Daphnia pulex: one gene and its partner. The protein of the gene in region 2 purifies or fractionates together with the protein of the main gene of each other region. This does not show direct contact. Links are inferred from orthologs where the notes say so. Each region holds a gene or a part of one and is shown on either strand. Other genes may lie near its edges. The genes, in order: regulator of nonsense transcripts 1-like and interleukin enhancer-binding factor 2 homolog.

The links.
Region 1: the proteins of interleukin enhancer-binding factor 2 homolog (region 2) and regulator of nonsense transcripts 1-like purify together in Homo sapiens (affinity purification with mass spectrometry; 3 studies listed by BioGRID and IntAct, counting the BioPlex papers as one, with this or other methods). This does not show direct contact. The link is inferred for Daphnia pulex from reciprocal best matches to the Homo sapiens genes ILF2 and UPF1.

Annotation. Positions count from the first base shown.
Region 1 is NC_060017.1:7,853,022-7,864,574, forward strand, and holds regulator of nonsense transcripts 1-like, read right to left. Parts: upstream 5,596-11,553; 5' UTR 5,417-5,595; coding exon 5,231-5,416; intron 5,171-5,230; coding exon 4,919-5,170; intron 4,856-4,918; coding exon 4,683-4,855; intron 4,619-4,682; coding exon 4,233-4,618; intron 4,175-4,232; coding exon 4,070-4,174; intron 4,008-4,069; coding exon 3,905-4,007; intron 3,845-3,904; coding exon 3,685-3,844; intron 3,613-3,684; coding exon 3,329-3,612; intron 3,270-3,328; coding exon 3,011-3,269; intron 2,949-3,010; coding exon 2,460-2,948; intron 2,397-2,459; coding exon 2,037-2,396; intron 1,941-2,036; coding exon 1,503-1,940; intron 1,437-1,502; coding exon 1,251-1,436; intron 1,175-1,250; coding exon 1,166-1,174; 3' UTR 383-1,165; downstream 1-382. Other genes in the region: uncharacterized protein LOC124197441, read right to left, coding at 6,603-6,727, 6,801-7,061, 7,139-7,225, 7,289-7,352; annexin B10-like, read right to left, coding at 8,296-8,358, 8,474-8,655, 8,732-8,911, 8,975-9,062, 9,132-9,175, 9,262-9,297, 9,379-9,583, 9,647-9,764 and 3 more; annexin B10-like, read right to left, coding at 10,689-10,787, 10,869-11,050, 11,120-11,302, 11,365-11,440, 11,503-11,546. UniProt on the Homo sapiens protein: RNA-dependent helicase required for nonsense-mediated decay (NMD) of aberrant mRNAs containing premature stop codons and modulates the expression level of normal mRNAs.
Region 2 is NC_060024.1:13,503,732-13,514,683, forward strand, and holds interleukin enhancer-binding factor 2 homolog, read right to left. Parts: upstream 3,461-10,952; 5' UTR 3,309-3,460; intron 3,243-3,308; 5' UTR 3,236-3,242; coding exon 2,906-3,235; intron 2,830-2,905; coding exon 2,661-2,829; intron 2,591-2,660; coding exon 2,410-2,590; intron 2,350-2,409; coding exon 2,229-2,349; intron 2,165-2,228; coding exon 2,053-2,164; intron 1,986-2,052; coding exon 1,833-1,985; intron 1,771-1,832; coding exon 1,601-1,770; 3' UTR 1,541-1,600; downstream 1-1,540. Other genes in the region: beta-sarcoglycan-like, read left to right, coding at 275-378, 439-515, 580-658, 718-892, 951-1,499; (Lyso)-N-acylphosphatidylethanolamine lipase-like, read left to right, coding at 4,018-4,088, 4,153-4,235, 4,300-4,509, 4,573-4,699, 4,759-4,967, 5,048-5,165, 5,246-5,270, 5,338-5,499 and 1 more; neprilysin-like, read left to right, coding at 6,579-6,637, 6,707-6,792, 6,855-6,974, 7,036-7,197, 7,263-7,552, 7,621-7,824, 7,879-7,992, 8,070-8,211 and 8 more. UniProt on the Homo sapiens protein: Chromatin-interacting protein that forms a stable heterodimer with interleukin enhancer-binding factor 3/ILF3 and plays a role in several biological processes including transcription, innate immunity or cell growth.

The DNA of each region.
Region 1 (11,553 bases), on a different chromosome or scaffold from region 2:
CTGTAATGTCTTTAATTTTGATTTTGTGATACACGGACCTGTTCACATCCAATCAAAATACTAATCCAATTTTAAGGCTCTTTCTTATCCAATTGGTGTTAAAATTTTTTAAGGATTGTTGTTTTTGGTGATAGGCTGGAACTAAATGGCAGACGCCGAGGACACTTTTAAAGAATATATTCCTAGTGGTAAAGTGGATCTCACCAGCCTTCAGCTGAGTTGGAAATTGCTTACAGGATCATCAGAATTTCATTGGCAACACTGAGAAGACGAAGACAATGTTTCATAACTATGTAGTTGATTGCCAAACAAAAATATCAGTCATTTTTTTATGCACAACAGAGTTAGCTTGAATATTTAAAAGAAAGAACGCACTCGATGATTTCCCGTGAAACAAAGTGTATTCTGATCTTCTTTCCATCTGATTTTCTCCGTCAAGATGGAAAGAAAACGCACGATGTGAAATTGCTTCCTACAAAAGAGCGCTATTAAAGGGCTCGGCAACAGCAAAGTGAGAACATCCAGTAACCCAACACTAATCCTCGCGAAATGAATGGACAACTAAACTTGCATGTAAAAGCATAAGGTGAAGAAAGCTGAAGAGCGTGAAAGGAAACAGAGAAAGCATTGGTCGACTGGAGAGAAAACAAGTCAAGAGAAATAAACAATTCAAAAAAATCAGTTCACTAAGCTTCGAACGCGTTATCAACTGAGGGGCCTACAAAAGAAGCATTCTAATTTTGGGTGACGTTCTATCGAAAAAAAAACGTCGTTTGTCGAAGGGATTTTGTGTTGGCTTCCAACCCACTAGAAACAGACTTAGGTAGGGTCCACTATGTTGGATGGTATGGGTATAGCAGTTGTTTCCCGTATTTTTCGACATTAATTTGTTGAAGCCCATCAGCTCCGTTATCGGCTCGTTCGTCTGGACACCGCTCTCTTGCTTCAACGGCAGATTGCTAGTGCTGCTTATGGTGTGCGACGTTGAAGGCCATTTGATAGATGGGCATAGGTCTTTCGAGCTGTCAGTTGATGAACGTTGGATTTCCCCTTTTCTCTTTTATCTTTAACTGCAAGATGAATTCAAATACGGTCGGCTGCCGCCAGGCGTCGTCATCGTCAATTTTCTTAGGGTCTTTTTTATTACTGCAACGCCTTACAGTTTTCAGTATGGCTAAGAAAAGGTCGGCATTAGATTGAAAACAACAGGCTCAATCAAAGAGTAAGACAAATTCGCTTCATCAACCTACCTGCGTGAATTGAGAGCCATGGCGGAAGAAGGCTGAACGGCCCCCTTGATACGTCGAGTCTTGAGAGAGCAGTCCATCCATTTGCGACTGATAATCTGATGACATATAGGCGTCTTGTGACGGATCTAACTGGGATAGACCCGATTGCGATAGTGCTCCGAAGCCCGAGACCGTCTGCGACATCCCCTACAAGAACATTTAAAATGGATAAGCATACCTTCGCGACCCTTTCAACTTGGCATTATTTAGTACCTGTGACATTCCTTGGGTGAGAGCCATGCCACCCTGGCTGAAAGGCTGCGTTGATACATCCTGTGTATTCTGCGAAAGTGACTGTGTAAACAGCGAAGAACTTCCCTTGCTTGCGGCTTTGCCAGCGCGAGGCCCACTTCCTCGGGCATTGTCTTTTGGCCTCTGATTGGATTTGGATGAACCATGCATCCCTTGTTGCTGCTGGCCGTGGAATCTAGGCGGGACGTGCGTCATGTTCATAAAGACACCCAAGGGAACGGGCATAGCAGAAAGAGCGGCCTGTGCCCTCTCTGGAGCAATGTAACCGATTGGATCGTGCAAACGGCTGTACGGATCTCCAACATTGGCCGTGGCTCGAGGTATGTAAGTATTCATACCATTGTTGTTTGGTGGTTGACCCCCACCCGAACGATCATAGACGGAACCAGGAACCATGGCCTTTAAATGATAAGATTATTTTAAAATAGAATACAAGATCCTTGACAGACAAGCACTACATAATTTGAAATAATTCTTTTGTGAATACGAACATACCTGGCGTGCGTCGTAGACGGCTGTGGACATGAAATGCTGACCAGGATTAAAACTATTAATTGGTTTCTTTGGCTTGGGAAACTGCATCATGGATTCTTTGAGGTTGTTGAGAGCTCCCTCAGTTAGAACATGATTTTCTTTGTAAAAGTGAAGCAGGTGATTCCATACAGGCTGCTTGGCCAACACTTTAGGATTGCCTACAATAATGATTCCGTAACGGGCGCGAGTCATAGCAACGTTCAAACGACGGGGATCGTTGAGAAAACCGATTCCTTGGTTCTCGTTTGAGCGAACACACGACATGATGATGAGGTCTTTCTCGCGACCCTGGAAAGCATCTACACTAGCTATTTCGATATCCTTCAAAAACAAAATACAAATTTAAAGATTTCGTAAAAGGTTTTGAAATATGAATTCCCTTACTTGGTATAATTTAGCATGTAGTGATCCTTGATGTTGCATGTACTGTACAAGATAAGCTCTTTGTCCTTCGTACGGTGTGATGATGCCAATTTGTTCTGGTTTGACTCCGGATCGAAGAAAACGTGTAGCAATCTTTTCCACATTTGACGCTTCCGTTCTGTTCAAATAGGACGTACCCGATCCAGCAATTTCCTCCTGACCCAATGTAACGTAGAAGAACATGGGCCTATCTGGCATTGGCCAAGGGAAATCTACCCCGCGAAGGATTCGGTCTTCCGCGCAAACACCATTCTGTAGTGATCCCTCGTAAAAGAAGTTGGAAGGAAACTCGGACAACCTTGGGTGCATACGGTACTGTACTTCCAAACGGAAGGGCCGGATGCCAAGTACTACCAGTCTTTCAAACAGTGATTGCGAGAGACCAGCTTTGGCAGCTGGTTTACACATCACCACTGGGCCCAACTGACAATGATCTCCAACCAGAATGAGCTAAACACCCAAAACATTGAATTAATAAAAATCTAAAACACATAATACCAAGGGATTCTTACCTGTCTTGCTCCTAGGACGACAGGGACCATGCATTCAGGTTCAGTAGCTTGCATTGATTCATCGATCAAGATAGATGCAAACTTAATGCGAGCCAAGCGAACATCACCAGCACCAACACAAGTGCACGCTAATACATCTGCTGCTTCGAGTAGCTCTCGTTCTGCTTGTCGCTTTAACATGCGGTATCGCTTTTCATCTCCCTGTGAAAGCTCACCGACTTCCTCCTTAAGCTGGACCAGCTTTCGCAACTCTGAAGCTCTATAATAGAAGTTAACTTTAGCCCCACGATGACACATTTTCGCAAAGTAAATTCTTACCCTTCAAGACATCGAACTTGATTATGCAAGGCCAAGAACGAGACGGGTGAATCAATGGCCTCTCTGGATTTCGCGCACAAACGGACCACTTTCAGACCAGTTCGATGAATCTTTTCAGTCAATTGGTCAACAGCAATGTTGGACGGAGCGCAAACTAATACTGGCCCTGATCCTAGTTTAGCCAAATGGTACACGATGGTGGCCGATGTAACCGTTTTCCCGGTACCAGGAGGTCCTTGAATTAATGTCAATGGACGTTGAACTGCTTGTTTTACAGCAAAAACCTGTAAAGCGTAACATTATGAGATAAGCAATGAATGTTCTATGTTCTATCAAGTAACAACTAAATTTTATACCTGAGATCGATTCAGCTCAGGCAAGTCAGGAGCAGAGAAATGTTTAGGGAGATGTAGGCGGAATACGACATCTTCAACCTCGTGACCGAGCAAACGATGATAAATGTAAGCTGAAACGCTACTTTCGTCAACTGCAAATTTCCGCAGGGCCGATTGCATCCTGAAAGACATGTTTCTTAGTCACTAGATCTCTTTGAAATACGAGCTCATCGGATGTTACCTATCAAAAGACGTTGATTTCCAGACAAAATCCACGACGAAATTTGTGGAACATTCTGTAGGAGCTCCGTTTGAATTCTTTAATTCAATTCCGACTTCTTCGCCTAAAATATAGTTATTTATATATTATATTATCATTATTATTACTATTATATATTAGACTGACTGTAGTTGTCTGGAAGTTTAATCACGTGCCCCAAACCAGTCCACGGTTTGTGTAGTTCCCCAAGGTAACGCAATCTTAATTCGTCACCATGCATCAGTTTCATATCTGAATTAACGAAAAATATGAGAAGGGACACTAGTGAACTATAAATATTAGGCATTACCGCTATCTGTCTTTTGAAGACTAAAGTAAGCGACAGTCTTTTTATTAAGACCGACATCCCAGCGAACGTGAACGTTGTCTTGAGTTTGGGCTTCTTTAACTCGTCGGTCGTAGTCTGCTTCAAGTTTCACTAGCGGACCAAAAATATTCTGATATTGATAGCCATCCTCATATCGCAGCAATACGTGCTGAGGTTCTTCGTCAACGCCAGGACGTTCCAGGTCTTCAAAACTAGCCTCAGGTTTCTCTTTCCACATCTCTTCCAAACGGTTCAATTGCTGGGCCGTCAATTGACGAGCTCTCATCTGTTCGGCCTCTGAAGGGCTTCGAACAAGCCAACTGAGGAAACAACGATCAGCTATAAGTGGTTTCCATTGTTCAATGTCCCTATTAGCAAGAAGAAGTTAGTAGAAAACCACACATGACAAACAGCACAGTAAATTTAACTAACCAGTTCATGTCTTTCAATGATGACTGAGCTGCACAAGGTTGGCGACACAGCAGCACAACAACTGAATCTGCTTTAGCAGGAATGAACCCCAAAACAAAAACATTTCTGACTCCACAAGAATAGCACTCCAAAACTGTTTCACCCAACGGTCCATCACGATGCAATGTAACCTCCTGAAAAATTAAGAGTTTGATTATAAACAAGGATTAAGATTTATATTTTTAAAATATTTTTACCTTGTGTTTGGCTCGTACAAGATGATTAACAATGTGAGAGCCAGAAGTATTACCTTTGCCATTGCAAAACCATTTCTTGCAAATATTACACATTACAACACAACCAGGATCATGGATGCCGCAATACTTGCATGCATGTGGTGGCAAATCTTTGCTGTAATAGCCCTCTTCATCTTCTTCCTCAAACTGGAGATCGTTCAAATTTTTCATTGCAGTAGCAAGTTGAGAATCAATCGTGTCCAGCCCATTCGCCTGAAAATGACCACAAATTACAGAAATGTTTTCAAAGTTTCACCAGGCAGGATTTCTTACCTGATGTTTTCCCATTGATTTGTGAAGGCTGGCATGATCAATTTGTGAAGCCTGGGTTTGACTCGGCAAAGTAAAATCGCGAAAATCGAAATCAGTTCCCTGAGTGTCTGCCCCAAGTAAATCATTTTCCTCGGTGTCGAGAAACGTGAGCGTTTGCGAATTGGGCCCAAAAGTGTCCACACTCATTTTGCCAAATGGTATAGCAATTAATGACGTCAATTACAATCTCTTACGGAACGAAACTCGCATGTGTGTTTTCACGGCTGTGCGAGTTTTCCCTTTTCCTTTAGTGCGATCGAAGCGCCATCTCTCGGCTTGATGGTTGATGCAACCGCCCTCTTGCGCAATCTTTTGAAAAATGTAATGAAATACCAGTTGTGTTGCACATTAGATAGGCACAGTGGCACACAAACAAACACACTTAGATCTAAGCTAAATAACAACGCTTTATAGATAAAGATTTTCGGGATCGCCAGATTATGTGCTCCTATGGTACTTTTTGTGCCCAGTCACAAATTATTATTGTTCACATTCGTGATTTAAATATTGCTTGCAGGTTATAGTTACATTGTTATACAGAAAAGAATTAATGAAGTAGAAACAGGTCTTAAACCACGATTCAGATAATAATTGAGTCACAGAATTAGGAAGCCAGTGGTTTCAGAGAAAAAGACATTTCATTTCTCGTAGACATATAGGGCTGTTCGACATCTTTTTTAACATTTGTTGCCATCGTGGCAACGCAGCAACTCATGTATTTTTGTCTGCTACGAGTGACTTGTGTTTGTTCTGCGAAATATGAATTTTTTTGAAAAATAGTGATAGAAAAGGGGGTTGTTTTGAAGTTGTGATGTGTTTTATTTATATATTAGTTCGTTATAGTGTTAGTGTTTAACTATGTCACTGTCTAATTATGCCAGTGGACTTAGTATTGAGGCCAAAACACGTTATTTGGGAAAGTTATTTGTGCAGACAACAATTTCAAGAGAAAAACATTCCACGAATCGTGCATCAAGTCGCAAACTAATCCCCCAAAAAGAATAACAAAGCTTTGGAAGTATGACACTTGCAAGAAAGCTGCTCGTGCCGTAGCAGCCGCAGCGGCAAAAGCAAAGAAAAATAACTTACCGGTCGTTCCTAGTAACAGTCAAGTTCAGAGAACAGCACTTTCCAATATAACCTCAATCAGTAGGCCCTAGTGAGCGAAAAGATACAATTTGTGTACCTTCCTTTGTAAAAAAGAAAATCTCCATTTGTGAAAATGTTGTGTTTGATTAAATTATTACGAAGAAAATGGTAATATGTTTGTGCCCCTGTTAACCAAGGTTAATACATCAAGTATTTATTGAAAATTTTTGGTTTATTATGACAATTATTCACCTAAACACACTACAGTAAGGGTACAACAGATGAACACGAAAACTGAAGTTGTTAGTGATGAATCACCGGAAGTAAATTCGACGTCCCTGATGGATTGACTTGAATTATTTAATGCAGCTGAAAATTATAAGTAATGAACCAAAATATTACTTTCATTAATTACAAAATTACATTTTAAAACATTACTTACGCAATGCATCAAAGGTGGTTTCAACCGTTATGATAGTTTCATCATCGGCAGTTGAAGTCATGTCAAAAGTTTCCGTACTTGTTGTTACATCGTTCAAGGATGGGATTGGATGAGAATCACTTATTAGAAGTGTATCTTCAATTAATGCAACATCTTCATCGAAACTGTTTGAGGTATCTTCAGTTGCAGTTTCAACATCTATCAATGGAGGTGTATCAGCCTTGTCAAAAGCAACATTGTTACGTACTTGATGATCACCATCTGTAATGACAAAATAGTTCATTCATTAAAACAACATATAGGAATGTTTTTTACACATGAAATGAATAATGCAATACCTAGAAATTGTTTCGTCTTATTTGATCCCACATTTATAGAGGGTGCCCAATCAACATGTTTTTTGTGGAATTCTCCACTCGGCTTTCCTGTAAGCATTTCACAAATTGTAAGATAATAGTCAATAATTGTTAGTATTAACCTATAAATACCTGTAACAAAGTGATCCGAACACACATAGATATTTTTCAAGTTGGTGTGGATGATGTAATTCATTCTCTCCAACCACAAGTCTCGCCTTACACCCTCCTTTGGTAAACTATACAGTTTTACACTTGCACTTTTCAGGTTACGGCAATTTCACACTTTGCACCATCTACTCACAGAACCTTTTTTAGTATTCATTATGCAGAATACCTATCAATTAGATAATTTAAAATTTTGTGATTGTTTTAATCTGAATACAAACTTTCAAATTTCACAGAATAAACAAGTCACTCGTAGCAGACAAAAATACATGAGTTGCTGCGTTGCCACGATGGCAACAAATGTTAAAAAAGATGTCGAACAGCCCTATAAATGTAGGGAAGAAAAACATGTAACCCTAGCAGTACACAGACAGCGACTTCATACAAACACGGCATCTCTAGATCATCGGCATATTTTATTACTTCCCAACGCAGTATCAAATGCTCTCTACATAGGCCGGATCACGACATGTTACATGATACTATGTATGTTAGATAATATTCTATCTCGGACTAAGAAATGTTTTCTATTACCAACTGAAAGAAATTTTATATAAACATTAAATAAAAAGAAAAAAAAAATTTAGACTCAATTAGTTGGGTAATTTCTTGGTATTTCGTAAATCTTATATCGTTATTTTTATTATTTCTATCAATGGCAGTTTTTGAAGGTCGGGTCAAAATAGATACCTTAACGAAGACGTAACCCGAAAAATAGGAACTATTGCGATAATTGATGTACACACTTTGCATAATAAATACAACTACAGACGTTAGAGGTAATAGTTGGCTATATGTCTGTATATTTCACCCAATTACATTGAGATATTGAAAAAATTAAAATTCCAGAAGTGTTGCCTCCGCATTTGCAGCAGCAATCAGGAATATGGCCAAAACGACGGACACAAGATCGATCACAATAAATTTGGTACATCAAAACAAAATATACTTGGAAAAAGTAAACAGTGAAATCAATCATCGGCAGTTTTGATGAGACAAATAAGAGCGCGACGATAATCACCGGAAGTTTCGCTCTATAAAATGCCGATGTTGTAGATCGCAAAGGTTGCATATTGAGATTTTTAAAAAGTCAGTCAGTCAGAAAGATTGTGCATGTAAAGTACAGAAATAGTTTAGAGATTCATTTACCTGGACTGAGCTAAGAAGTGTTTTGCAATAGATGCGCTCATATTCCGATTTGATGTTGACCAAATCAATTTCGGAACGATCGACGATGATGCGGATCAGAGCACTGTCATTTGTCCCCAATCCTTTCATGGCTAGCTCCAGACGGTGGGCAAAAAAAGCTGGTCGGTTGTGAACAATTTCCACTGAAACGTTCAAAGTGTTAAATTTAAAGTTGATTTTGACTACGGGATCGCAAATAATCAATGACCGGAGGCATACCAATGTCCTTAAGACCATGCAAGAGATCTCCAGACATTTCGGATTTGAGAGCCTGTTCAATTGTTTTTCCGGAAATCTTCTTGTACATTTTAAACATCTCGGAAGTCTGACGACGACATTGGGCGGCAAAGCCAAAGACGTCTACGAAGACGTTTTCGTCTGTCCCGATTTTTCCTTCTCCTACAATAGTTAATTTGAAACTTGTAATAAATAATGATAAACCCCCATATGAGTTATATTTACCAGCGGTGTAAAGATTTCGTGCGTCTTCTTGGGCTTTAACTGGATCATAAGCAAAATCTCCATGGCCACTTGTTTGATCACTCTTTCTCTATAAATGTTTATACATCCCCATAAATATCACAAATTGGACGTTTAATTAAAATGGAAACGACCGAACCTGTAGAGCGTTGAGAAGCAATTGTTGAAATGGCCCCGAAGTATCTTTAATTCAGAATAAGTTATTAAAAGGATAGGCTACTATTACATTACGGAATAGGGTTGGACACGTTTGAAAAATATGTGATTACCTTCTCGGACATCCTTTTCCAAGGGAGTATTGTACACTGATTGAAATCGATAGAAAAATTTAATATTATTATCGATTATTATTTTGCTAATCTATGTGTTGAATCTAAATATATTACAACACTCGTAGGCCAAAGCAATCCTTGTTATCTCATCGTAGGGGCGGGAGAAGAGGACTTCCACCAAAACGTCCTCATTAGTGCCAACTCCCTTCATTGCTTTGTTTAGAAGCTTGGCGCAGTGTACTTCCGGTGGCATCATCATGCTCAAAATGAGCTTCTTGAAATTGCCACTCAGTTCACTCTTGAAATCAGCAATGATATCCTGTTAATCAAACGCATTTCAATCAACAATGAAATCTCATTTTATAAGAAAATTAAAGGTTACTCGATTGAATTGGAGTTTGAATGCTTTCGAAATACTCTGGCGCTGGGCGTTGGATCGATAGCAAAGAATGTCGATGATGGCTTCTTCATTCGTACCAAATCCCTTCATGGCAGCCCGCCTGAATAATTTGAAATGCCAGATAATTTAATTCCCATCCAAAATAAAAACCTGATTTTCTAAAGATTAAAATGGGAAATATTTACAATTTTTGGGCGTCGGTCATTGCATTGAATTCGGCTTCGGGCAATACAGTTGGTAGTTCCTATTCAGTCAGTTGAAACAACAATTATAAAATTTGAGAATTTTTAGTTTAGTAGGTCACTTGAAAAATATTTTCTTATAATCAGTCAATGTAAAATTGCCGAATGGATTCACCGTGAATATAATTTGATGAAACGCATATGAAATACAAAATTAAGAGAGAGTGGAACTCACCTTTGTGTAATCATTATTTTCACCAGCCCACGTTAGCGACACTAAAAACCAAACAAAAAATTAATCTTGAGTTGTCATTAAAGACGTATAAAGTTTCATTAGTTTTGAACTTACTAGTTGCAGATTATGAAGAAAACTAACAGGGAGTGAATAGAACACACGTCTGCTGTGGACTGTAAAAAAATATGTAAATCTACTGGTGAACCTTGACGAGCTGGCCTTGAAGGGATGAGGAACAAGGCGGAAACAAGTTTCCATTGAGACAACACCCTTGAGAGCCTCGGGATGTTATTTTTGTTATATTTGAAAGTTCGTTACAGCTTCACCATATATGTGTCCCATTACTATCCCGTATTGACTAATCAAAGTTAATTATAAGAAATGAATTAAGTATGATTTTATTCATCCGCGTTTTCTTCCCCCAATTCAGAACCAACAATCAATGAACGCAGAACAGGAACTAAAAGAAAAAAGTGATCGCAGGCGTATGAAGATTTGTATATGCAAATATGTATTTCCCTTGTCAAAACAAAAAAGAAGCGCTTTTTTATCAGTGTCCACCATGCATAATAGCCGTACAAATTTCCCCTCAAGTTCTCAGCTGCAGTTACATAAAAAATATTGGCGGTACTGCAATTTCGTGATTGAGAGCGGGGGGTCCGATGAGAGCAAGGAGGGAGCGGCGGTAGTCGCCAGAAGTTGCATTCTGCGAATTAATGAAATTGCACTTGTCATTTATTTTTCGGCAGTCAAAAGAAATTTGTGTCGCATCCATATTTTTTATTACCTCGACTGAACCATAAAGTGTTTTGCCATATATGCGTTCGTACTCTAACTTGATGTTGGCCAAATCAATTTCACTTCGACTGACGATGATGCGGATTAGAGTGTTGTGATCGGTACTCAATCCTCTCATGGCCAATTCTAAACGCTCGGCAAAATACGCCGGTCGGTTGCGAACTATTTTAACTGTTTGAAAGGAAAATATATACTGTACAAAATTTGTGTTTAATCACATCAATATCAAAGAGAATGAACCTATTTCAAGAAGACAAAATAAAATGTCTTCAGACACTTGGGATTTGAGAGTCTCTTCAATTGGTTCTCCGGAAATTTTGGCATACTCTTGGAAAATAACCGAAGTCAGACGACGCCTTTGAATGGCATAGCTCAAAATGTTAACGAAAGGATTTTCGTCCGTGCTGCTGTGCTCTTTTCCTACTTAATCTTCTTTTGTAGAGCTAAATTTGTTATCAAATGTTTGTTGGTTTGCCTATATCTACCTTTGTCGAGCAAAAGTTTAGCCTCTTCTTGTGCGCTAGCGACTGAGTCAGAATCTATTGTCGGATCTTTAATTTCCTAAATTAATCCCAATCCCAGTTATTCATCAGTATGCTCATTTAAAACTCAAATGATTTTACCTGAAGGGATTTGAGAAATATCTTTTGAACCCGACCGGAAATATCTAAATT
Region 2 (10,952 bases):
GAAATTCACACATTGGAACTTCTATTTTGGTTCGAATATTTTCGTCATCTAACAGAGTCAGCAGACTAAAATTTTGCAACAGCGTTGTCGACCAAATGCCAGAAATGCAAAGATTAAATTACAATTTTTTAAAAAGACAGCGCCGCCGCTTCCCAGCCTCTAAATGTTTGTCTGCTACGTCAATAAATGTGATTGTTTTGATTTCTAGACTCTTTGGTTGTGTTCCAAGTCAAAATTTTGGCTAGATTTCTGTATTTGATAACCTATTCAAGCTATGGATTGCAATAATGGAGTGCCCTCACAGGTTTCTACCCTCTCTAGGGCTGAAAAAGCTTTGGTGAAACGGAACGTCAGCCGCCCTTCTTTGGCTAATAACGCGTACTACACTTACGAAAATTAAAAAAAAAATACATTGCAAATAATTTCTTCACCTTTTAGACCAAATCCACAGTTTTGTGAAGATTCTGCTACTGAAGATCATGTAAAAACTAAAAAGGCAAAGAACCAGCCAAGAGGTTGAACTAAATAAAACATTTTTACTTAAAGGATTCACTTTACCTTTAACATCTTTGGACGCAGGATATACTTTTTGGGCGCTGGTGTTTGTTTTGTGTGTTGTTGCATTAGGGAACTTTTTTCTCACCATAACTATTTTCAGGTATAGATTACCATTTAATTTTAAAAATTTCTCCAGTTACTGAAATGTCATTTTTACAGTGTTCTTCATGTTACAAAATCAATGGAGAACATTGAAGTTGTCCCCACTGCAAATCTCATCAAGTTTTTTGGTGATCTGGAGATGAACAAACTCATGAAAGCTGATGGAATGTTTACTGGCTTTAAAGAGAGCCCAGTAACAATTACCAGTGATGGAGATGATCTAAACTTCAAGGTAATGAAATTTAAACAAACATGGAATAAGAAAACAACTATTAAATATACCCATGTAGGTTATGAGTGATGAAGAACCAGAGATCATCATCAGTCAAGATAAAGTCGAGTTTCGGAAAGTCGAGGGTTTCGAGATGTTCGAACCGCGCACAACCCCAAAGACTAGCGCATTTTCTACAACTTTTCCTAATTTCGGTTTGCCTAAAGGTGTTTTGAACTTACACATCAAGAAAGCCACGGCCAACAGGATTACTAGCAAGTTGGAAGGCTCCTTACTTATCAGATCAGAGAAAGCCATTCGCGTGAAAGGCAAAGAGGGAATGAGGATCCGGGGCAAAGAAGTTGTAATGAGAGCCGACCAGGATCTTCTGTTGCGCAGTATCAATGGAAGCATTATTTTAGACGGATCTGATGGCGTAATAATGGATGTAGACGCCATGGCCGTGACTGGGAGACTCGAAGATCACAACGCAACAAAAGTGGCTGAATACAAGTTGTGCATCTGCATGCCAGCCGGGCAGCTTTTCCGAATCCCTGTTCTTGAAAGCACTGATACAATCAATTGCGATTCCGTTGATCTCACGGGCGATGATAATCCCTGCATTTAACTCTCAATACTCATAACAAATCTGTTTTTTCTAGTCATTAATTGAACCGAACTAGTCATTGTTGTTCACACCGAAAGTCAATACACGGAAACATCAAATCTTTAGATGGCAGAATCGGCTTCTTTCTCTGTTGTAGGGGCTTCAACTTCTTCAACTTCCTCATCTTCGGGTTCCTCGCCGGTTTTCCTATCGTATAGTGTTGAATCGTAGACACTGTCCTGAGGAGTGACGACGATGCCGTTCCATACAGACAATTCAGCAGTAGGGTCCACTAAAGGAAAATTTGGAAAATAAGATTGACGCGTCAATGAATATAATTAAAAGTTGAAATACCATTTTTCTGATCAAGACAGAGAATGGCGTTGTAGCCTCCATGAGAAAGGATCCGTAGGAGATTCTGGGCGGTACGACAAAGTAAGTCTTCCTGTTCCATCGTCATTACCATGTGAACGCGAATGGCTCCCACCTCACAAGGATCAAGTATTCCTAAAGACAAATTGAAATAAGAAATCTCGCATTGGAAAAATGCAAACTATTATCCTTGTCTACTTACCACAAGAGCCCGGGAGAAAGAATCCAGCTGACAAAAGTTGAATGACACGACGGAACGCTAGATTGACGGACAATGCTTGTCGATTAGGGGTGTTGAGTACGCTAAAATGAGCCTGTGATTACAAAAATATCAAGTTAGTAAACTCTGAAAACCAATAAATAGAAACTGAAAGTTACCAGAAGATCGATCATCCATGGGCTCAATGGTTCAAGTCCTTTTATGCGTGTCCTCATATCACGTAATAAGCGAATCAGGACTTTAACTGATGTGTGGTTAACATTTTCTTCGAACCATCGGCTGAATATTAATAAATGTTTAGCGAAACAACCACAGAAGAATTTGAAAGAAAAATGTTACCTGTGTCGGACGGCAGCTAAGTGTGACTGGAGATATTTCATGTCTAGATGCATTGATGAGCTGATGAGCCTAAAGTTGCGGCCGATAGTTGTAATTAAAACTCGAACGACCGCTTTTGTATTTTCAGGCGGAGTCACGCTGAGAATGTTAAAACCTCGGTCAGTTATCTCAAGTTCATGATCTGAAACCAAGTAAACATAATTATTTAGAAGGAATACACTGAATACACTAGTACACCAATAACAACATACTTATTTGTGCTTGTTGCTTCTGCACCTCCTCCAAGATTTTGGCCCCAAGGGAACGAATAGCTTCATGTGTTGGAAGAGTTTTCAAAATGACGACAAGATCAGCCACATTGTGACCGCAGACCATTGTTCCCTTTTTAAAGGATCCAACAATCCTCACTTCTTCCAATTGCTGAAATTAAATTCAAAATCACAATAAGTGGTGGTTACTTGTCAGGCACAAAAAGTCATAAAAAATATGCACTTACGCAAGCTTCAAAGGATCCTGGGGCCACAGTAAGTCCTTCAAGAATCCCCTGTACTTTGAGAAGAAGACACTGAATGGAAGTCTGCTCGTTGGCAGGAGGGACAAGCTCAGCATGCCGTTTCAACAAAGCTTGAGTGAGATCTTTATCATCAGGTTGGGGTTTGAGTCGTGGGTAAAATGATTCAGAAACAAACATATCAAACGGCATTCGAAGGATATGAGGACGAGGTTTAAAGCCGGACATATGATGCATTGGTCTTCCTCCCATCAATATCGGACCGGCCCCACCGCGCCGTAACATACGAGAATTTCGACGAAAATTTCCACGCATGATGATTCTACAAATCAGAGATGTTTGATGGAGACACAAACAACACTAGAGCTCAAATAAAAATACTATCAACCTCGTTTAATAACTTTTGCAAAAGCTACAATAAGACGACCAAATTCAAAGCAGAATCGACCTAGCAGACAACAACATCTACGAAATGTCGAAATGCCACGAAACTCAGCCGGCCGCAGGATGCAGTGGTCATGTGCAGAGCAAACGTAGCCTAGCCGCTGGCAAATAAAAAAAGTGAATAATGTACATATAAAATGTAACCACAAAAAAAATAATTTTAAAATTAATTAAATTTAAATCTCGATGCAATAAATCCAGTATACTGGAGAACTATTTATTGCAAACATTTGCTACTACAGCCATCTATCCACAGCAATAGCCACTTCCATTCAAAATTGGTTTGTTTACAATTTTCAAGTCAGCATTACGTAGCAATCCAATCATCAATAAAGTTGAAGCAGACGAACTCAAGGTGCTGCAGATTTATAAAAGAGAAAGAAAACTGTACGTCCGAAGTTCGTCGAGAGATAACATATTTACAGCACAACGAGCAGATTGTAATACGCTTAAATAGTGTTCGTTCCTTAAAATCTCGTGATTTTTCAACTTTTAAAGGTTTTGTCTAAGCTCGTCAGACAGTCCTTGATTCATTTGCATAAATAGTAGCCACATTCGTTTGGCGGTCTCTACATAGGCCTAGAGTAGGAATAAGCTGTGTCATCCTATTACATAACTATAGTTTTTCTGCTGGGAATACTACAGAGATTGTGATGGAAATAGATCAACAGACTGTTATTGAACAGGTTACTCCTGGAACTGTAGCTGAAGTGGATAATAAGTGGTATGTAAGATACGAAATAAATCATAATTTTAATCTTTAGCCCATTTCATATACTTTTTGATAGTTGGTGGAGTGTAAGCAATTACATCCAGTGGTGTCCAACATCAATGTATCACCTTAAGCGAGCAGAGAGCAGAATTCTGAAAGGTAAAGTTGGCACTTTGCAGTTAGTCACCATATTCACTATTAAATTAACTGTATGATTGTTTAGTTATCAAGACTGCATACGAGGCAAAGTATGTCAATATTGGGAAGTGTGTAGGAGGCACTGAGAACAAAATATGGACCTTGATGCTCAACAAGGATGCAGAAAAAACACCATTGGTAATGCTTCACGGATTTGCTTCGGGTGTTGCATTGTGGTGCCTTAACCTTGATACCCTTGCAAGAGAGAGGCCTGTTTATGCAATAGATCTTTTAGGTAGACATTTTTACATTTTTGTTTAAGATTACAATCGTTTCATATGATGCAATATTATTCCAGGTTTTGGTTCCAGCAGCAGACCACACTTTAGCAGTAATGCCTTAGAAGCTGAGTCTGAAATGGTGAAATCCATTGAAGAGTGGAGAAAGCAAATAGGATTGGAAAAATTTGTGCTGCTTGGTCATAGGTATAAAGCAATACTGATGCAATTATCAAATAGTACTCTGTAATTGTATTTCACTATAGTATGGGAGGGTTTCTCGCTTCGGCTTATGCTCTACAACATCCCGACCGTGTTTCGCACGTTGTGCTGGCAGACCCTTGGGGGTTTCCTGATCGTCCGTCCGGGAACGATTCGAACAACCGTATCCGAATTCCTCCCTGGGTGAAGGGAATCGCCTATCTCCTTCAACCTTTTAACCCGCTGTGGCTTATCCGAGTGTCTGGACGTCTAGGTTTGTTCAATAGACAGCAGTTGTGTGTTATCCAGCTTATGCTTATCTTCCTTGTAATCAATTTTGAATCTACTGAACAGGGCCTCATATAGTGCGAAAAGCTCGTCCCGACATTTTTCAAAAGTATGCCGGGACAGTAGAAGATGCAGATGAAGCCATTTCCCAGTACGTTTACCATTGCAACGCCCAAAGTCCAACGTAAGAACGGATCAAATAATGATAATTTGATTAAACAATCGACTAAAAGTTTTTTCTGTCTTAAATATTTTCAATTTCAGAGGGGAATCCTGCTTTCATGCTATGGTAAGCAGTTTTGAAAGGATTTATTTTCCAAATCAACACTTTTAAGTATTTATTGTTCGACGCATAGATGGCTAGTTTTGGATGGGCAAAATACCCAATGCTTCACCGGATCCCCGCACTAAGATCAGACATTCCTCTAACGTTCATCTATGGAGCGAGATCGTGGGTTGACAGGCATCCGGGACAGATAATTAAAGATAGCAGAAAGGAATCCACTGTTGAACTCCACGTAAGCGACTGGTTTTCAGTGTTCAGTTGAATGTTTAAAACAAGAGCGTCTTCATTCAGGTTATTGGCGGTGCCGGTCACCATGTTTACGCTGATAAAACGGAAGAGTTCCATCATCTTGTGTTGACAGCATGTAAGACAACTGACAATTCGAAGGAAGTTATCGAGTTGACGGTAGACGAGAAACCGACCGCTGAAGAAGAACGGGTGCACGAATTACAGACGGAAATCAGCCAATCGGTATTGGGAGCTTTACAGGCGACCGAAACACTAGAAAATCCTTAAATCTGTGGATCACGATTAGGATGTCAATACTATTATATCGCATTGTCTGTTCTTCTGTTAGAAAATTATGTACACTAAATTCTTGAATATTCTATTCATGCCCAACACGATTTAGTATAATTTCAAATTTTTTTTATGTGAAAAAGTTCAAAGAAAAATACAGAGTTTCATTAATGCACTCTAATTACTGTCAGATCATTAATGCATCCTACACACTCAGCTCCGGTCGTGCTCACTCACGAACGAAGCGTTCCTTCGTTATGTAATTTTCTTTGTTGTAGAATTGAACAAACAAACTCTGGGGCGACATTCTGAAAGAATTGTGTAGGAAAAGCGACATAATGTTGATCTGTTGATAAACTGGGTACATCAATATTTCATTGAAAATGAGGATATTCATTCTACTACCATTGTTTTCGATTGCCACACAAAGATGAACTTTCCAATCTGATGCGGTCGCCAAGAACATATTGTTCGACCCTAGAACAAAAGAAATATAATCCACGGAAGATAGTTTAGACTGCTGGTGATTGTCATTCGAGACGTTAAGTGTGCTTCATTTTGTGTAGCCGTCGATATAACTAGGGGAGAGTATTTCAGGTCACGTTCCTTTATATAAACACATATCTTGCTCCACTGACACCTTTGTACATCATGTACAGTATTCCCTGTATTTAACAATCAGTAACTGGCAAGAAAATTGTCATTCTTCAAGGAAGAAAAAGCGGAGACGAGCTACCCAAAATTCGCTAAAAATACAACAACTTTTGATATTCACTTCTGTAAGATTGAACAATGGCGGATTCATTCGTCGTCACATCGACAGAGACTCTAGCCCCAGCAAATATTAAAACGTACGTATCTTTACATGTTTGACAGTTGGATTGAAAAAGTTCACTTTTCGATTTTTGGACGGCACATAGCCCGAAAAAGTCTCGCTGGATCGTGCGGGTAGCTGTCGTTGTTGCCGGAGTTTTTATGGTGGCCACTGGACTTTTAGGCTATCAAGGTTCACTGACTCAATCAAGTTAGAATTTCTTGTTTGATCTCAGTCAAAATTCTTAAAAACAGTTAGCCAATCCATCAAACAATTGGACGCTGTGATCAAAGAGCTGGGAAGTGCTCAACTTACGATCGATGGCTTTAAACTGAAAGATCCCGTTTGCAACACCAAGGAATGCGTCGTCTCAGGTAAATCTATTCAACCTATGAAATTTTTTATTATAATGAAAGGAATATGATTGGGGTTCAGCCGCTGCTTTGATGGAAGCCATGGATCCATCCGTCGATCCTTGTCAGGATTTTTACCAGTTCACCTGCGGAGGTTGGCTTCGTAAGAACAGCATTCCAGAAACAAGTTCCCGCTGGGGCCATTTCAATATTTTAAGGGAACAAGTCACTCACTTACTTAAAGGTATTTAAGAAAACTGATCTCCTCGTCTTATCGCTTAATTTTTAAAATGCCGGAACACTAAACAGAAGTTTTAACCGAGCCGAATGCGATGCGGGATTCGAAACCGGTGAATAATTCTCGAGATATGTACAAGGCTTGCATGGACACGGATGCGATTGAAATTTTGGGATTGACACCGTTGACTGAAATTCTGGATTCGTACGGTCGGTGGCCGATGACCGTGTCAAACTGGACGGCCGACCAGTTCGATTGGAGATCAGTAAGCTCATCCATCCGGAAGAACTTTGGAGAAAGTTTTCTCTTTGAAGTGTACAATTATCTTGACTGGAAGGACACTAATAGAAGCTCCATTTACGTACGTTGTTGGATCAATAAATGAATAATGATATTTTTAACTTAATGCTATCTTACTTAATTTATTAGGTGGATCAATCCGGACTGGGACTTCCGTACTCGACACTGATCAACGCCAAGTCAAACTCAACAGCTGCCGTGATGAAAGCGTATGCCAATTACGCTTTCGAAACAGCCAAGGCGGTACGGGACACGATTCAAGGAGGATCTAATGATTCCGACATAACCCGTCAAGTGGAACAGATGATTGATTTCCAAATAGAACTCGCCAAAGTATAATCAACGTTGTAATGATAAGTCAAAATATTCACCAAAATTGTTTCGCAGATTCAAACCAAGCCGGAAATGAGGAGGAACAGGACGCGGATGTACAATCCCATGAGATTAGACGCTCTGCAGCGGTGGACAAATGTTGTCCATTTAACTCGTTCAACCAACTACGTAAAAGTTAAAATTATTCAAAAATCTTCTAATATAATTTAGCTTTGGTTTGAAAAAAAAAAACAAAAAAAAAACAGATTAAATGGGCTGATTATATCAGCGACATTTACTCCGTCGTCAACATTTCTGTGACTGAGAACGAGCAAGTTGTCGTCACCGAGCCGGAATTCCTCCGCAAACTCGTCCGTCTTTTGGACCAAACTTCCCCGAGAGTTATTGGTATGTCATCAACTTGGAAAAATAAACAATCGACTAACATTTTAAATTGAATGAAGCAAATTACATCCACTGGCGTTTGGTGATGAAGGCGGGAGATAATACGAATCAGCTGATGAACTCGATCGCATTCAAATTCTGGAAAGTCTTTTACGGGGCTTCAGAACCGCAACCAAGGTGGCGGTTCTGCGTCAACAAAGTAGCCAACACGTTGGGATTCGCCGTTGGGGCTCTGTACGTCGAGAGGGCATTCGACGAACACGCCAAAAAAGATGTACGCTTTGGATTTATTACGGGAAAATTATTACAATTAAAAAAAAAATTATTTCTTCAAAGGCGATTGAAATGATTGGACATTTGAAAGAAGCGTTCAATTCCTTGGTGGAAAAATCGCAATGGATGGACCCGGAAACTAAAATTCGAGCGCTGGAAAAGGCGGCCGCCATGAAAGAATTTGTGGCTTATCCGGACTGGATACTCAATAAAACTCAACTGACACTTGCTTACGAAGGGGTGTGTCTTTACTTTCATTTACTTTTCAAATCGAATCACAGTACATGACCGCCTATTTCAATTTTCAGGTGGAGATAAACAGCAATAGTCACTTTGAAAATTATCTCAACGTCACTCGGTTTTTAGAGTACGGAGAGATGAAAGGACTTCGGTTGCCAACAGATCGTACGACGTAATTTGGCCATTTATATAACTTGTTACATAATCTCTTGCATAATCTGTTATTGTTATTTGAAAGGTGGGTCACTTTTCCGTCGGTTGTCAACGCTTTTTATTACTTTTTCTACAATTCCATCAGTAAGTTGAACCCAATTTTACCTTTAATTAATAAAAAAAAACCTTTCGAATGATTTGACAGCTTTCCCTGCTGGGATCTTACAGCCACCCTTTTTTGGAAAGGGTCGCTTGGCGTAAGTAACTCTATTCTTTTGAATTTCAAAAGGGCTTGTATAATTGAATTTGTTCTCCCGTAGTGCTCTCAACTACGGCGGAATAGGAGCTGTAATTGGGCACGAAATAACCCACGGCTTTGACGATCACGGTTGGTAAATTAAAATGACTAAAAATATTTGAATGCGCGTGACTCAATTCGGCTTCTTATAAATGACAGGGCGGCAGACAGATAAAGACGGTCGAGTCAACTTGTGGTGGACTAATCAAACGCTGACTAAATATCTCCAAGGAGCGCAGTGCTTTGTCGAGCAATACGGAAACTATACTTTCCCGGAATTCGCTGGAACTGAAGCTTTTCATGTGAGCATTATAAATTCAATTAACCAGGAGTATTATTAACACGCGGGAATTTTTAGATCAATGGAATCATCTCACAAGGGGAAAACATTGCGGATAACAGCGGCGTTAGGGAGGCCTTTTTAGCCTATCAGAATTACGTAGCCCTGAACGGGCGAGAAGCCCGTCTGCCCGGCTTGGAGCAGTACACACCGGAGCAGCTCTTCTTCATTTCCTATGGCAACATTTGGTGTGGCAAACAAACAACGCAGAGTCTCAAACAGCAAATCTTGAACGGTCCGCACAGTCCCGAACGCTATCGAGTACTAGGCACCCTGTCCAATTCGGTCGATTTCTCCCGTCACTTCAAATGCTCGAAAGATAGTGCCATGAACCGCCCTAATAAATGCATTCTCTGGTAACATAGTTATTAAAATGATGTATCTGTAATAATACAGCTCGGTTTCATTTTAAATATTCCTGAGGTGCCGGCAGGTCCCTCTTTGTCGTTAAAATTTTCTAGTTGCACTTTGCTTCAAGTGTTTAAAGTTAAAATATTTTTGTTTACCCACAGACAAAGTTGTGGGTTGACAAAGATTTATTCAATGAACCCTGACTGAGTAAACAAAAACGACAAGAGAAAAAAGTTCCACTCAACCGCCTAGCTCAGGAATAATCGTATTCCGTACTATGTAACGACTTATAATTAACGCCCCCAAATAGTCAAAAATGAAGAATAGAGATACATGTTTCCTACCTTTAAGTCTGGGAAATACGGCCAGGCATCCATCCAGAAGTGCTTCATCCATCCGCTGAAAAGTTGAATCCACCAGGCGGGATAGGAAAAAGGGCCTCAGACTCGTGAATACACCCACACTCACATGGGTGTACACGAGGACAGAGGAATTTACATAAAAGGGAATAAGAGATCACGTAACTCGGGATCCAACATCGGTAATCTTCAATCAAACGGGATACTGTTTATCTAATAAAAAAATAAAAAATTGGTTACGAAAAATATTTGCAGAATCAAAGAGTAGGAAAAAAGTTGAAAATGAGAAAGTGGGTAAACCCTAATTTTTAATAAATGGGAGAATTGAAAGTTCCCATGTTACAACATGCATGCAAGTCATGTGCATCATTAAAATTACCTAGCAGGTCACAGGGATAAAAGTAACACACATAATTACCCAAGCGATGATAGTGAGATTGTTGCTGATGACAGGTCAATACCAGTAAAAGCAAAACTGGCATATATCATGTTGTTATGATGGCTGGCTCTGGCCTGAAATCTGCACAAATAAAGAAAAGGTTACATAGTGCAAATAACAAACTACCATAGCTATATTGACAGGGGGCTTACATGATGCTAGTCAGAAACATTTCACAAATTTGAAACCGGTTTGACTCTTCTATTTAAGCTCCCACATATAATCATTAGATTTGAATTACCTGCTAGAAACAGCATGGAGTGTGTATTCAGTGATTCTCTATCAAGAACA